2 linked regions of the Alligator mississippiensis genome follow. The protein of the gene in region 1 purifies or fractionates together with the protein of each later gene. This does not show direct contact. Links are inferred from orthologs where the notes say so. Each region holds a gene or a part of one and is shown in the gene's direction. Other genes may lie near its edges.

Evidence for each region. The genes of interacting proteins can lie anywhere in the genome.
Region 2: the proteins of PPP2CA (region 1) and CCDC6 purify together in Homo sapiens (affinity purification with mass spectrometry; 4 studies listed by BioGRID and IntAct, with this or other methods). This does not show direct contact. The link is inferred for Alligator mississippiensis from reciprocal best matches to the Homo sapiens genes PPP2CA and CCDC6.

Annotation. Positions count from the first base shown.
Region 1 is NC_081832.1:70,069,623-70,078,025, reverse strand, and holds the start of PPP2CA (serine/threonine-protein phosphatase 2A catalytic subunit alpha isoform), read left to right. Parts: upstream 1-5,104; 5' UTR 5,105-5,200; coding exon 5,201-5,302; intron 5,303-8,403. UniProt on the Homo sapiens protein: Catalytic subunit of protein phosphatase 2A (PP2A), a serine/threonine phosphatase involved in the regulation of a wide variety of enzymes, signal transduction pathways, and cellular events.
Region 2 is NC_081829.1:47,378,347-47,386,272, reverse strand, and holds the start of CCDC6 (coiled-coil domain-containing protein 6), read left to right. Parts: upstream 1-4,380; 5' UTR 4,381-4,444; coding exon 4,445-4,741; intron 4,742-7,926.

The DNA of each region.
Region 1 (8,403 bases):
ACAGTCTTAAGGCAACAGGTGCCGTAAGGGCACAGATGGGCCAAGAAAGCCCACCTAATGATCAAGGGACAGGATTGAGACCAGAGGGGAGTAGGAGCCCCTTGGATCCAGACTAGAGTAGGAGCCCCTTGACCACCAGGGGGTGGAACGGCTGCCCCTGGGGCCTGGGCTTGCTACATCTTTATAGGACATTTCGGAGCAAGGCAAAACACCCATTTTAATACTCTGTTTGCTGCATGCAGTCTTTTCTGCAGCCTGATAGCCTTTGTCTTTCCTTTGCAGGCCCTTATTTCTGCTTATTGTTGACTGCAAGATTCTGATGGCAGCAGATTCCTTGTTTCTATCCCACAGCTGTGGACCCAACCTAGATTCATCTCTAATGCAATGCTGTGGACTTCAATTGACTTGCATCAGCCAAGAATTTGGTATTCGTATTGTTATATTACGTTTATCATTAGTTTAGGGTTTAAGGCCAGAAGAGATCAATATACAACAGTCCACATTTTACAGACTATTAAGTTTCATACAGATACCCCTATATTAAGCCCAAAGACTTTAATTCAAGTAGGCTACTGTGTTTAAATCAAAAGTATGTATTGTAGGCGAACTATAGGAGAAGCCTAGGTAACACCAATTCCTCAGGCCCTGCAAAGGAAGGGAATGGATTAGTGGAACTACACCCAGATTATCTCAGCAGGGAAATCATGCCTCGTGCTACAGATGAAAGGGAAATTGCTCCAAGTTCTCTCCAATTTGATCATAATGTAACCAGATCATGACCCCCAATACTTAGGCAACAAGCATCTAACACTCAGCATTTGCTATGCTCTCCTCAGTCTTGCATGTTTTTCAGAGATACTGATGCAAGGACATAGGCAGACAAGGTTCCTTGGGTGAATTTGATATCTTTTATTAGACTAACAAGCAAGGACATGCACTTAACTACAGCCCTTGAGGCACTGAACATCTGGACTTGGTCTGGCCTCTGGATTCTGTCTCAATGGTCTAAAGGGGAGGGTGGGGGTAGAAGGTCTGGGCAGCCTCCACTCCTCCATGCTCTTGCCAAGGCATACAAGTTGAAAGTCCAGGTGACCTCTCTCACATACACCATGATCCCGAAGGACTGACAGTTGCCTACTACTGAGGGTCTAATTATGGGGTGAAACAGAGAGTTTACAAAGTCTGTTGTGCCTTGGTGGCTATTGATAACCACAACAGCAACTTCTGTACAAGTTACTGTGATACTCTTAAACACTTCTGCAATATCACTAATGAAAACATTCATCAACTCTATTAGAGTTGGGAAAAGTCTCTAAGTCACATAAAGGAAATACTTTTCCTCCTAAGTGAAGCACATGATTATACTTCTAACAAATGCTACATTTGTTTAATTTTCATACCATAGATTTAGTTCTAGTATCTCAAAGAAAACAACACACCTCCCTTGATCTGTGTGACATAAAAATACTAAAGTAAATATTACAGGGAAAAGTCTAGCATAATGAATATCATTTGCCAAATAGGACTGTTTCTAACAATTCATCTTGCTGGAGCCTTGACTCTGAGCAAAGCCAATGCTTTAAAACTAGTTGTCTAAGCCTAACACAAACATAATTTAATTGGGCCTAACTCTCTACTGCCTTCACCTTGTGAAGTCATTGGCATCAGTCTGAAGTGAATATGAAAAAACATCAAATCAGAATGCAGAATTTTGCACTTTGCACTTGCTATGTACTGGTTTTATTTTTATGCAGGACAACAGTGAATCAGACTTACGAAAACTAATCCTTTCTTAAAGTGGAGTCACCCCCCTCATCTGCTCATCTCTTAAAGACACCGAGACATCTTAGTAATAGTGTAAGGTACCTCAGTGGAGACATACAGTTGGTGTAATCATATTAGTGGAATATGAATCTGCGTAATCTCACAACCTCTCCAAGAAGTATCACCTCGTTCCGAGTAAAAGAGATAGTGGACGATACTGGTGACAAATGCCCTTCACATCTCTCTGGATTCAGTTTAGTAGGACTGAATAGATTCAGCACAAGGCATCCCCACTGGCTATTGCAAGATATCCTATATGTTGTTAATACTTAATGTGCAGCAGAGTGAAATGCCTTTGAGGGGTCCAGAATATACACACATTTGCTTTCTCTCTCAGGCTGGCAATATGATAGCTGCCAGTGCTAGCTTTCTCTTGTTCAGGCAAAACAAGATTTCTCACTGGGTAGCCTCTCATCCTTGAAAACTGAAAGCTTCATACTTCTTACAATTCATCACCTATGTTACCCTTTGTATAACTATGACGTGTCACAGGGACTAATATCATCTGCACTATGACAGCTCTCAAGAAAGCCACTTGAGGCTGCCTTAGGGATACAATGTCATCAGGCAGTCAAAGACACACGAGGCTGCATATGTAGTAGCAGTGTGCTCCTGGTAAGATTTAATGGCATTAATTATGGGGTTCATCCCTTGGCCTCACTTAAGTCTTGAATGGACACTGAGATTCTTATACTAGTGAATAACCAGGATTCATCAGGGACAAGTATAAGAATCCTGCTGAATAACCAGGACTGAATATTTGTACAGGAGGATCAAGTGAAGGGAAATCTTAAATGTCTTTATCAGTATGAGGGGGACAAACACATCTCATGAATAACTTCCTATATGGAATGGTCCTGTTATCGAGCACAGGGATTGCCTAACTTGGTCAGAACAGTGGGATCCAACTAATTCAGTAACCAATCTCCATTAAAAAGCCAATACCTGATATTTTAGGCAGTGCAAGAAATCTTATAATGGAACGGTCTGCAATAAACTGCATATAAACGTTTCTGCCATTCTTCATAGCTGTAGATATCTATCTCCCTTATTTTGAAAAAATAAAATAAAAAAGGAAGTAGGAAAGAGCTTGCAGTTTGGCTAGTATGACACATCTTACTACAAGCACTAATACACCTAAGGTCAATGATCTTATGGAATTCATTTCTGGACACTGGAGAGCTAGCTAGCACTGTAGAAGGTTTTTAATAGGGGCTGAATAATCATGACCAATAACAACTCAATAGTTATTCATGTTAATAGAAGTGTAATCAACTTTGATTTACCTTTTTTTTAAAGCATGCCAGCAACATGAAACACTTGTCACTGACTCAAGCATTAGGACTGGGTACAAAGGTGAAGGACTACTCTGTTGACTCATTCTGGCAACTGGAGCAGATTGATCTCCTTAATTACACATAAGATATATGGAAGCCTGATTCCCATTCACATGCTAATTGCTATGAATTAATATTGTCATCTCCTATTTCAGGATACAACCTAACCACTCCTTTGGGTGGGTGCAAACAACCCCCACCACTGTGTGCAACATTGTAAAGTAAGCATTTATTTTTATTATTTAACCTTCCTCTCAAACATCAGATAATCACTTCTAGAAGCAGAATACCAGATACTGAATGCAGTCTTTGTGCCTCCTATGGAAGAAATCCAAGTGCAGAATTACACTCTTAATTATCTAGTGTCTGATCTACTTAATCAATTCATACCACATATTTTTCCGATGAAACACTAGTTTTAATTTGATAGGCTGCTAGGTCCTCCAAGAAAATCAAAATGCCGGAGAGAAGTTTCAGGGGTTCCGATATTCCGATACCCAACATGAACTACAGGCAGCCCCCAACTTAGGACTTTTCAAGTTGCGATGAATGTCGTTTATGATGTTTATAAATTGACACCCCATTTCAATGCTGGTTTCATCTTTACAACGGTCGATACGGCGTGTAGCTGGTAAGTGGTGGAAGGGGAGGGAGAGGGGAGATCAATGTCCCCCACAGTGAGGGAGGGGTCGGGGCTGGGGCAAACACTGTCCAGCCAGGGCTGATGGGCACCAGGAGGAGGGGATGGCGGCTCCCACCACTGTGCACCGCTTGTCTGGCGGCTCGACTAGTGGTTTCCGCTGCTAGTCCAGGAGACCATGCTGGGGGGGCGTGTGTCCCTGGATCTGCGTGGGGTGGGACAGGTGGGGCCGGGGCTGCACCACGCAGGCAGTGGGGGCTACGGTGAATTTTTGGGTGGCCGCAGCCCTCCCATAGCCCCACTCTGCCCCAGTCCGGGGTAACACTGTCCCTATGAGAAAACTGGTTCCGAGTCCCCATATTTCAACTGAAGACGCAGCTTTTCATGAACCAATTGCGTCGTCAGTCAGAGGGCTGTTCTTCTGGCTGGTCATCAAACAATAATTTGGAGCTCAGATCTACTCTTTATCCCTGGCTCAGTTCAAAAGAAATAATTACGGGGCAATCGTGATGACCAAGATCTGCAATCTGAGCCACTGGGGCAGCACAGCGATCGCCAGCCACCTAGAGAGGAGTTGCGCTGCTTTGGCTCACGCTCTCAGTGCAGCGCGGGGGTGGCTCCCTGGACGGACCGCCGGAGCAACGAGGAGCGCTCCACCTCCTGCCCGCAAGCTGGGGGGCTGCAGAAGGGGTCAGGAAATTTGGCAGCGGGGGGGGGGTCAATAGTGCCACCCGTCCCTCTGCCAAAATCCCGAGCAAGTGGAAGCCAGGCCATGGCTATGCCCCCTGCACTGCTGGGTTAGGCGTCAAGCTATGATCCCTCCCCCAGCCACGTGCAGGTCTGGACCCCTTCCCTTCCCTCCCCTCCCCCTTCCCTGGGTGTGGCTGGGCCGGGCCTCCTCCCCTCCCCGCCCGGCTCCCTGCAGCGTGGAGTTGGATGGGCAGGTTCATGCCCCTTCCCATGTGGCGCCAGACCAAGCCCCCTTGCCCCACACAGCTGGATCCGACACCTCTCCTCGCTCCTCCCGGCGGGGTCGGGGCGGGGCGGCCTACCTGGGCAGGGCCTCCAAGGGCTCGCGCTGCTGCCCACCCCCACCAAGCAACCCCACGGCGCATGCGCCACCGCACCGACAGCACAACACACGCACGACTCCTCCCAGCCGCTCCCCCCTCCCGAAGCCTCCAAGTGCGCAGGCGCGGGGCGGCCCTCCGGGGCGCATGCGCCGTGTCCCCTCCCCTTTCCGGAGGGCCCCCTCCGAGGGTGACGTCAGGGCGGCGGCCATTACACGGAGGGCAGCGGACGAGCCGCCTGCCGCTGCCGCCAGCCGCCGTGTGTGCGCGTCCCGCGGGCTCCGGCCGCCAGCGCTGCGTGCAGCCGAGCCGGTGCGGAGGCGGGAGTCATGGAGGAGAAGGTCTTCACCAAGGAGCTGGACCAGTGGGTGGAGCAGCTCAACGAGTGCAAGCAGCTGTCCGAGGGGCAGGTGAAGAGCCTGTGTGAGAAGGTGAGCGCGGGGCGCGCGGGCCGGAGCGGGGCGGGGCAGACGGCGGCCTAGGCCTCAGCCTCGGCCTCCTCCTCCTCGCGACTCCTAAAATGGCGCCGGGAGCCGCGGAGGGGAGCGCGGGGCCGCCCCCTGCCTGCACCGCACCCAGGCGCCCCCCGCACCGGGGTCGCGGCGCCTCCCTCCCTCCCTCCCGCTCGCCTCGTCTCCCTCCCCGCGCGAGTCGGCGGCCTCGCCGCGTCGCAGCCGGCTTCCCCGCCCCAGTGCGGCGAGGCCCCTTCCAGCCCCTGACACCACCCCCGGGGTGGTCGGGCCGCTCCGGCGCTCGCCCCCGTTGCCGAAACCGCGTGGCTTCCTCCCGACCCGCTCCCTGCCTCGCCAGAGACGTCCACGCCGACTCGCCCGCCTCGCGGGCAAGTGCCAGGACAGACGGGGGTGAACGGCTTCGGTAAATTTTCACAATGTTTTTAAAGCCGTCGTTTTGTTTCCTCCGAATTTCCCTGTCTCTAAAGCGTTTAATGCCCGAAAGGAACGCGTCGGGTCGCATCGCGGCCGTATTGGTCTAGAGGCGAAAGGGAATCGGGACTCCCGGTAGAGGTGATTTGCCTTGTTTTAGACCGATGTGAGCACCTACTTGGGACTCCTTTACGAGTCAATTGGTCTTGCTGGGATCCTGTGACCCTGGCTGACTTGCAGCCCCTGGAGCGGGGGGCCGGACTTGATCTGCCACAGTCTCTTCCAGCCCTAATGACTGTGAAATCTGTAAACTAGACTTTTGCACAAAAAAAAGGAAAGCGACAGGTATAGGTCGGAGCAAATTCATTTCAGCTTTTCTTCGCACAGTCTGTTCGGGGTGCCTGGTGACACCGTCGTGTCGCGTTGTGTGCCTGCACGAGTGAAAAGAGCGATCTCTTCCGAGGAAGCGTGTGGCTCGATGATTTGACTTGGAGCAAGAGATGCTGCGTTTCTGTTCCCAGTGATTAACTTAGAGCAGCAAGAGATGCTGCGTTTCTGTTCCTAAGGGGCAACAATTTATTGTGCAGGTGGAGCACGCTCCTCTCGTCATGTTGACCTTGTGTCCCAAATGGAGGTCTTGTGTTGAATCAAGTTACTTCAGGACTTGTAGCTGAAAAGCAGTGACAGCGAAAGAGAGGGGTGTTGTATATTCAGTATGTTCATACGATTTTAGCATGGAGAAAAAGACCTTTTGTGGCGTGTGCTTGGGAGAGCTGCTGATTACAGATTTGGGAGATGTCACTGATGTGCCCCCTTATGGTTGTCACTAACACTGAAGTGACAGGTTTGGCATTGTGCCTGTGACTACTGTAGTGTGCTGATTGAACCCATCTCTTTTTGTAGAGTGCCCTTGATAATCTCTATGAAGTTACACAAAGGTGCTTTCACAGACAAATGCTTATGAGTGTAGCATGGTCAAACTTTACCATTATAAAATATTCCAGTACTGTACTTCTATTCAAATTATGGTATGTGATGAGTCTCTAAATTGTCATGTTGTAAGTAGGAAAAGTGCTGCTTGGTATAGAATTTTTAAGGAAGAGTTTGGTATATCCCAAACAAGTGTTTCATACCAAAAAGGATTTGATTATTTTTTTGTGAAACGCTTGATTGTGATTTACCAACCTCTTCCTTAAAGTACTTTTCCAAGGGGTGGGTAAGAACCATTTAAGGACAGTCCTGTTTCCAGTACAAATTCCCAAATACTTGTTCAAGTAAAATACAGACAAACCCCCATTTAGCGCTCTTAATTGGTTCCTGAAAAACCAAGCATTAAAAGGAATATAGCATTAAGCGAGACCAGGTTTGTTTTTTGATGAACCAAGATGGTGACACAAGCCAACTGGCGCTAACTTGCACAACGAGACTGTGCTGCTGATGAGCTGTGGTGCTAGTGTACTCTCCCTGCTGCCAGCTGTGTGATGCCCATGAGCAATATAACAAAACTTGAAGAGTGGAGTTGGGTATCAAAGTAAAACGAGTGTTACAGCGTTAAGCGGGAGTTGCCTCCCGCATTTTATAGCATGCTTGGGAATACATGCTACAGGGATCGCTACGTTTTTAAATAACACAGTCACAATTTAACATGGTTGGTGGATGGGTAGGCAACACGAATGCAATTGGTGAATACTTAAGAAAGGAAACTCGATTATTATCGGTGTTCTCTCTCTGCGTCAAACAACCTGATTTTTTGCAGTTTGAAGTCTCATGGATTCATGGTTGTTTAGATACCTAAATACCTTTTCTGATCCGGCCCTTAATTCTTACATATTTATGAGGTACTCATTGCTGTAATACTTCTGTCTGTTCATGGGAAAGAAAGCTGACTTAAACGGAACTATTTTTGATGACCTTGTGTGCCAAGATGAGAACTGTCTTGAGCAGTAAGAACATAAAATACTTTTTTTGCCTGCTGTAGAATCAACAGGCTGTCTGGATATAGAAGGAAATATATGTTGAAAATTAACCTTCAGTTGCAAAGGGAGTGGTGTTCATTGGGCAGGAGAGACTGTAGAAGGAAAGTTTATTGTAAAAAACAAACAAAAAAAAAACAACATTTGGACTTCTAGGATAATTTACCTTAGAAGGGAGCTTGTATAGGGTAAATAAAAGATCATGATATTTAGAGAAGCCAGTAGAAGCAAGAGTTTTGAAGAGCTGGTGCACACTGAATATGGAGAAATGATCAGGTTATGGTGAATTAAAAGTGGGCAGGGATTTACTTGTCAGTTGTTCTCAGGAGACTGCTGATGTTACTGGTTCTTATCCCTCGATAAGAGGAAGCTAGACCACAGCAACTTTGCTCTTTTTCACGGGTGAGTAAGCAGTCATGGTTTGACAGAGACCTCAGAGGAAGAGTAGGCAAAAACAATTTAAACCGAGCTGCTGACCCAGGTTAAGCGCATGTCCAATTTTGACTTATTGTTATTTGTTCATTTCATAGTTGGTAGGGTCGGAAGGGACCTGAGAAGATCATCAAGTCTGACCCCCTGCCATGGGCAGGAAAGGATGCTGGGGTCAAATGACCCCGGCAGGGTGATTATCTAGCCTCCTTTTGAAGACCCCCAGGGTAGGAGCGAGCCCCACTT
Region 2 (7,926 bases), on another chromosome or scaffold:
CCTCTGCAAGAGAAGGCTGGGAGGTGATCTTGTGGCTGCCTACAAATTCATTAGGGGGACACAGCAAGGGATTAGAGACGCTCTATTCACCAGGGTGCCTGCAGCAGCCATGGCCCCTTGCTCCTGGCCTCCCACCTAGGCTGCTGCCTACTGCTTGCCTGGCTGCCATGTGACCCCTGAGGGGGAGCTGCCTGTAGATGTGCCAGCTCTGCACATGGGCTCTGCTGGCCCTAGCCCCATGGTGGATGAGGGGGAGCAGGCTGGACAGCATCTGCCCTTGCCTCTGGTCAAGCCCCCAACCTGCTGACCTCCCTTCAGCAGCTGCACCTATGGTAGTGCCACCAGAGGCACTGGGCACCTCTCCCCAGGATCTGTGTCATAGGTGCTTCCACTCCACTGTTACCTCCCAGCAGTTGACAATGAACATTGAAGTTGTATGGGAAGCAGGACCTCTATTGTTAGTGTACATTGGGGTTAGGAGGGGTGTGTTGCTGGGAGGGAGGGGGATCTGTTACTATGTGGTGGAGAGAAATAAAGTTTGGTGTTTATTGCTAACTGCCTGTAGTGTGTGTGGTCTTGGGGTTACCCTGTGGGCCTAGGGTTCATGGCCAACTGCCTAGGTTTCATGGGTGGGGGGAGGAGCAGGATGTGGTTCAAGCCCCTTGCAGACATAGTGCCCTGGCCACTGCTGCTGGGGGGGCGGGTGTGGGGTGAGCAGGGAGTATCCGTGGTGTGTTGGCCACAACCTTCCAGGACAGCACCCCTTTCCAGCCTGAGCCTGAGGCTAGAGCCTGCAGCTCCTCCTGGTTGCTGTGGGGGGCAGAGCAGGGCAGGAGTAGCCCTGGATCTGACTGCTGCTGTGGGGCACAAATTTGCACCTGACAGGGTGCACGTGTAGATGTGTCCTATACTTAGAATTAGTTTGGCAGAACCCACTACCCATTGAGAGCCCTAGTAAAGTAAATGGCCATGTGTTTATGTGGGGATCTCAAGGCAGGATCAGAGTCCAGAGAGGAACCAGCAACATGAGAATCAATGAATCAAGGTAAGAGTGGAACCCCCTGGGAGGAGAAATAACTTTCTATTCTGAGATCCAAAACATAAGGAGGGTTGCAATAAGAAAGTCCTCCTGAGAAAACCTTTCCATTGAGAAATAAGGGGGAAGATACGATTATTCTGGTAATTGTGTGAGTATGTTACAAATATCATGTTGGTACACTGTATACCAAGTTTGGGCACAGCTGATTTACATTATTAAGAAGAAATATGTAAATCTGTGAGAAGCTACAGTGGAAATAGCAGCAAATGGGACAACTTGCAATTCCATAAGAAAATGATAGGTGATGATGGAGTAATACAAGTGTTATGTTTTCAAAAGCAGCTTTGAGTGACAATACCAGGAATTGTAACACAATTCTAATACAGCATTAAATCCTGACCAAGTGACTGATTCATTGCTTTGCCTTATAACCTTGGGGTGCTGCTGTTTTTTAATACAGCTCCACAGGTAGGCAGAGATGGTAATTATCAGCAACAGGAATGATAACTTTCAGTCTCTAAGGATGCATCTACACATGTATCAACGCACTTTAGTTAATACGCATTAAATCTAGTACCTCCAGGTTCCTACACACACAAGCGGAGCCTGGTCCAACACGCTGGAAATCCAGCATGTCAGACTCAATTAAATAGAGTCTGCTAGAACATGAAAATTGACACACTCCATTCCAGCAGCCTTGTACATTATGTGCATCAGCATCGCTATGCATCTTTGCACTGAAGAAGTGGTGGTGGAGTGCTTTGAAATAAAACATGTTCGATGAGCTTTAGTTCAAAGTACCCTGCTGCCATTTTTTTCAGTGTGGGGACATGCAGTGATGCTGATACACGTGATGCATAGGTGCTTTTAATTAGAACAGCTTGCTAATTAAAAGCACCCGGCACCAAGTCCCAGCACATGTAAAAGTACCTCCCATTGTGAGGTAGTAGGAAAATGTGCATTAGCCTGTCTTATAGTGCATTAACCAAAAAGCAAGATTTAAGTGACACTTAATGCGCATCAGTTTATTTTAATACACATTAAGACTTTAAGTGTTTGTAAGGCACAACAGCCACAAACCCAGGCTCGGGAGGAGAGTTATAGTGTCATCATCATCATATTAATAATATCATTATGTTATGGGTTGGGGTCCCCAGGGGTGGCCATGATACTCCTGGTGGCTCTGCAACTGTGCCAGCTCCGCCCCAAGGGCATCCCCTCATTTTGCCTACCAAATCTTGATGGTAAAATTATAAATCGGGAGGCTGTCCACAGGCCTTCATGTGGCCTCAGCCCACTGAAACTCACAAGAACTCACTGGTCCTTGGGCTCCAAACCTCTCCTACATCAACATTTTTTGTATGAGGACCCATTTGTAAATTTCAATGGTGAGTACCAACCCAGTGCCCTCACTCCCAACCCACTGGCCGCTGGGCCCCAGCCCCCCACCCCCAGTGTGTGCGTGGGGGGGGAAGTGGGGCATGAGGGAGCCCTGAGCAACCCCTTGCTGGCTAGAACTCTGCCAGCTGACAAGGGTAAACCCACGGTTTTCCACATTTTTCTCCTTTAATGAAGAATCCATTTTTAAAGTTTCTTCATGACCCTATCATATATTTTTGTGACCCACTTTTGGGTTGCAAACCATGGGTTGAGAAATGCTGCCTTACACCATGCCCCATGCCTCGTGGGTGTTACACAAATGTATTTTCCTTTATTAGGGCCTTGGCCTACTCAGCCTCTACCCCTTTAATTTCACTAGGCCTTCTAGCCTAGGCCCACTGTGTCAGACCTGGGTCTGAGGTACTAGCTCTAATTGGTTTCTTCCAGTCACTGGGCCCTATGTGGCTGCAGCCCCCCTGCTGCCCGGCCCTCCAGCCCTTGTCTGGTTGCACTCTTCTGGGCACTAATGAGGCCTCCGTACCTCCCCTTACAGCCCCATATCCCAGTTTTTTCTGATTTAAAAAAAATCCCCAATTTTCAATTAAAAAAAAGTCCAAATCCACATTTTTCTGTGATTTAAATGAAACACCACTCTATATTCTAATATTATAAAAGCCTAAGTCAGTCTGTCTGTCTGTCTGTCCATAGTGATTTATTTGCGCTCTGATTGGCTGTCTCAGCAGCTGATCAGAGTGCCCTACACAGACAGGGACAGACAGTGTAGAGCCGCCATGACTGTGGGGATGGCAGGGCCAGCTTCCCTGGCCTCCCCCTCCTCCCCCGCTCCTTGGAGGCAGGGGCTGGCGCCGCCCCCTCCAACAACAGCTGGCAGGGAGAGGAGGCACTGGGGAACAGGGGAGGGAGGGGAGCAGGAAAGGTAGGAGGGGTTACGGCCGGAAGCAGTGGGGGCAGAGAGGGGGAATGGCCCCGACCCCATCCCCAGCCTGAGGCAGGGGTGGGGAAGGGACGCAGGCCTCTGTCCTTGCCCCCCTCCCCGTCATTCTTGACAGGCAATTGGCTAGTATATCTGTATCAGCAATTCCCAACCTTGGGTCATGATCCAAATGAGGGCACGGGGGCAATGCCAGTGGAGCTGCACACATAGGACGAGCTGTGCCACATGCCGTGAGCTCCCCTGCCTTAGGGCTGCTGCCGCACTCTGCTCCCAACAGCGGGTCACAGCAAAAAACAGCTGGGAACCACTGATCTATGTATTAGCAGCGTTTCATTTAAATCACAGAAAAATGTGGATTTGGGGATTTTTTTAACCCAAAACTGGGAATTTTTTTAAATCCGAGAAAACCAGGATCCTTGCATGCCCAGTGCCCTGCCTCTTTTCGATCAGCTGGCCACCTGCAGCTGCCCATTAGCCTGCTGCTCAGGCAACCCACAGCTGTGGAGCTCTGCCTGGCCTGCAGGGCCCAGGGGTAGGCTGCCTCTGTCCTATGTGCCCTGCCACACATAATTATGAACAATAGTTGTAATGACAACAGTTAGCATTATTATTGCTGTTAATAGCAATTGCAGTCATCATTCTCATCAGTAATTTCTGTATTAGAATAACAATGATTATTGATAACCAATATTGTTGCTATTAAGAGCAGGAATAGTAATACTGCTTCTAATAGCGATACTTATTATTAGTAAGAATTATCATTATAATACAAGCTCTCTCTCAACTCCGGATTCATGGCTGTTAATAATAACAATAATTATTATAATTATAACAATAGTAATAATCACTATTACAATTGTTATTGTTCTGGCCATTGGCCGCGGCACTCTTCGCTGCGGGGCAGGCTGGCGGCGCGCGGGGGCGCTGCAGCAGGCGGGTGCGAGCGGCGCGGACAGCTCCCATGAGGCGCGGGGCGGGGCGGAGCCTGCGCCCTGGGGCCCGGTCGGGCAGTCCGCGCTGCCACCCCGCCCCTTTCCTCTTGCCCTCTTGGCGGTCGGGCGGCGGCGGCTATGGCGGACAGCGCGAGCGAGAGCGACACGGACGGCGCGGGCGGCAGCGGCGGGGCGCCGGGGGCTCTGGCGGGTGGCGGGGGCGGCGGCAGCAGCGCGGCTGGGCCGGGCGTGGGCGGCGGCGGTAAGGCGGGCGGCATCGTGATCTCGCCGTTCCGGCTGGAGGAGCTGACGAACCGCCTGGCCTCGCTGCAGCAGGAAAACAAGGTACTCAAGATCGAGCTGGAGACCTACAAGCTCAAGTGCAAGGCGCTGCAGGAGGAGAACCGCGACCTGCGCAAGGCCAGCGTCACCATCGTGAGTGCCCGGCCAGGCCGCGGGGAGGGTGGCGCCTTACCGCGCACTGGGGGCGGCGAAGGGGCCCTAAGACCCTCGGGGCGGGGCGGCCGGGCGGGGCCGGAGGCCTCGGGGTGTTTGGGCTCCAGCAGGATCCTTCCCCCTCCCTGCCGCGGCCCGGGGCAGTTCTGAGTCCCAGTCCCGCGCTGCCCCTGCCTGGGGTCTGCTGCCTCCACCGTCTGGATCTCCTCCAGCAGCTCTGAAACCTGCCCTGGGCCTGGTCTGCCTCCTGTAAAATTGGTTCTTTTTCTCCCTTAATAGCAGGAGCCAAAAATAGCATTGGGGGCCCCACCGTTGCTCAGGTCAGCAGCTCTCGACCTTGTTTTAGACTGGAGGCAGTTCCCGTGAAAATGCCAGTGCTTGGTGTTTCTTTGCTTACAAGAAAATATCAAAGCAGTTCTCCTTTTGCAAGGAACTTGGGAAGACCTCAGCACGGCAGAGGCTTTTAAGGTTGTAGGTTTGTTATGAGTTGTGTGTACACACACTGCAGGGCAGGCATTACATGGGCCTCGGGTTGAGAATGGCTGGTTTAGGCATCTTACTCTTCCTGCTGATGGTTCTGCACCACCCCCAGATGCTGCGTGAATACGATTAGACGTGATTAAATCAAACAGGGGACCAAAATTGATGATTTCTTCACCGTGGCTATTAAAGAATAAGTGCTTAATTTCATGTTAATACCTGGGATTTTACCGGTACAGCTTTTCATGTTAGACAACTGACAAGTGTGACCTTGTTAAGGTAGATGGTATAAAATCGTTTTAATGGGAAGGAAGCCTCTGGGAATTTTGTGCAAAGAATAAGTCTAGGGATTTCACGGAACCCTTCAGGCAGGGTATGACGTGCACTGGAGTGGAAGATAGTTTGAGGATCAGCAAGTTACAGTTTTTCATACCCTGCTTTTATCAGCAGCAAATGTGAGCAGCAAGTGGTGGTAAACTGCAAACTTTCTTATACTAATACTAGTACATGTTTGTGTGTTTCCTGTCCAGTTAACTTGAATAGATTGCTTGGGAGCTCATTTAAAATAAGACTTGAAAAGCTTGTTCCTTCATTTAAGTAGTATTTTAAAAGAAGAATTTTTACAGTATTGTGGTAGACATGGTAGTCGAAGTACTAAATTGTGTAAAAGTTGAATACCCTTTTAAATAATAAATAAGGGCATTGTTAACCTTAAAATAATAATTTAAAAAATGTACGAAGCCCTTTGCTTTGGCCTGTGAGAGGTAGGGCGAGTGATTTATGAACCTTAAGGGAGAAAAAAAGAAATGTATTAGCCCCTTGGATTATCTGATGGGGCTATAAATATATTGACAAATTTATTTTCCGTAAGTGTTCCATGATATTCATATTTAAGTGCTTTTAGGTAAATAGCTTGGTATGTTTAGTTAGGTGATAGTATTTTAAGTTCTGAGCTAACATGCAGGTTTTTTTTATACTTGTGATAAAAGTTGTAACAGTTGAAATTAGGTTGGATCCTACATGTCTTTACTCGGATATCTAGACATTGGTATACAGCATCATTCTCTTAGAATGTAAAGTCTGTTGTAAGCATCTACTGTCAGACCTAGCTTTTTTCCAAATATAATCATCATTTTATTGGTAATAACTTCACATCTTATTGGTAGTAACGACATATAGGCTGTTAGATCTGGTGGGTCTGGGTGAAGCTCTGGAACCAATCATGAGGAACCTCTTTTGTTCCCCTACTAGGTATTCTGATGTTTAGCACGGTGAGTCTTAACCTGGATGCTGTGGCACCCTGGGGTATTTTAGTTTCTTTGCAAGGGTACCCCAGGTCACCACACTATGTTAGTAGGTGTGCAAACCTGATTGAAAAGTTTAACCTAGAGATTTCAAATGGGAATCCATAGTGTTCAAAACATTCTGACCTGTGTAATTTGCAACAGAAGAATTGTGTTAGTATTTTTCTGTAGTCAAAAATGAGTGAAAACTAAGAGTTTGAATTTTTATTGAAGACTGACAAAAATAGTGCTAGTTGCAGAAATATTCACTTATCATCAAGTATTAGCTGAAATATACATGTTGTGGTTTTTGTAAGGTAGCAGTAGTATCTTCCGGCCCTGTTGTCAGGGGTTGGGGATCTTGTCAATTGGAAATCTTTTTTGACTTTGCAGTGAAGAGAGATATTCATCAGGACTTTAAAAATTATCACTGAACAATTTCTAAAGATAATAAGTACAAAAAGTCTAATTTCCATAAAATATTCTCTGAAGTTGACTTTGGGGGCTGATGAGATTAGATACTAATCGTACATTAATTCTGTTTTTGCTGTTTTTGTTCAAGTCTGCAGTCCATTAATGGAGATCTTTTTACAAGATCTCAGAGGAATGGAGAAAAGGTGCAACATTTCCATAGCAACCTGTGGGTTGGGTAAATCAACATCTTTAGAAAAATATCTGTTGAATTAGGTCTTAGAAGTGGTTTGGACAGTAAAACACACTATTTAGAATACTGAAAATAGAATGAGGCAACATAATGGTAAGCATGAAGCAAAAAAATCTAGAGTATAGTCAGTTGTTTGAATTAGCTGCTGAAGCTTAAAAAAGTAGAGGTAATTAGGAAAATAAAATCAGTAAGGAGGTAGAGGCCTTGGAGAAGGTATCAGAATGTTTCTTTCAAGTGGAACCTTGCAATTGAAATTATGGACATGTGCTTTCTATTTCTACTGTCTGCTCCTTAGACATATTTTGCCCTTTTCAGCCTGTCAGCATTAAAAGTGGCCTGCCAGTTGTCACTTATTATGTCTACTTTTTAAAAAAAAATACAGAGTTGTAGTGTTTTGGATCATCATAAAACATAACTTTTCAAGACTGTGCACCATACTTTACACAATCCTTTAATAACATATTTATAGTCAAAATATGCCATGCCCTATTACTCCAGACTGGAAGTGGTTGGTCACAGTTTGTTAGAGAAAATTAAAAGTGATTTGGAGCCACAAGTAAGTAAAGTTTTATTTGGAAGATGGGTGAAAAGCAGCTGTTCTCATACACCTCTTGTATACAGCAGCACTAAAGAAAATACTTCTGTGTATTTAGTTCCACAAAATCTAACCCTAATTCTTGGTAGATGTAGTGGTCGTAAGTCTGCGTTAGCTATGGCAGTGATGTCACAAATCAGAT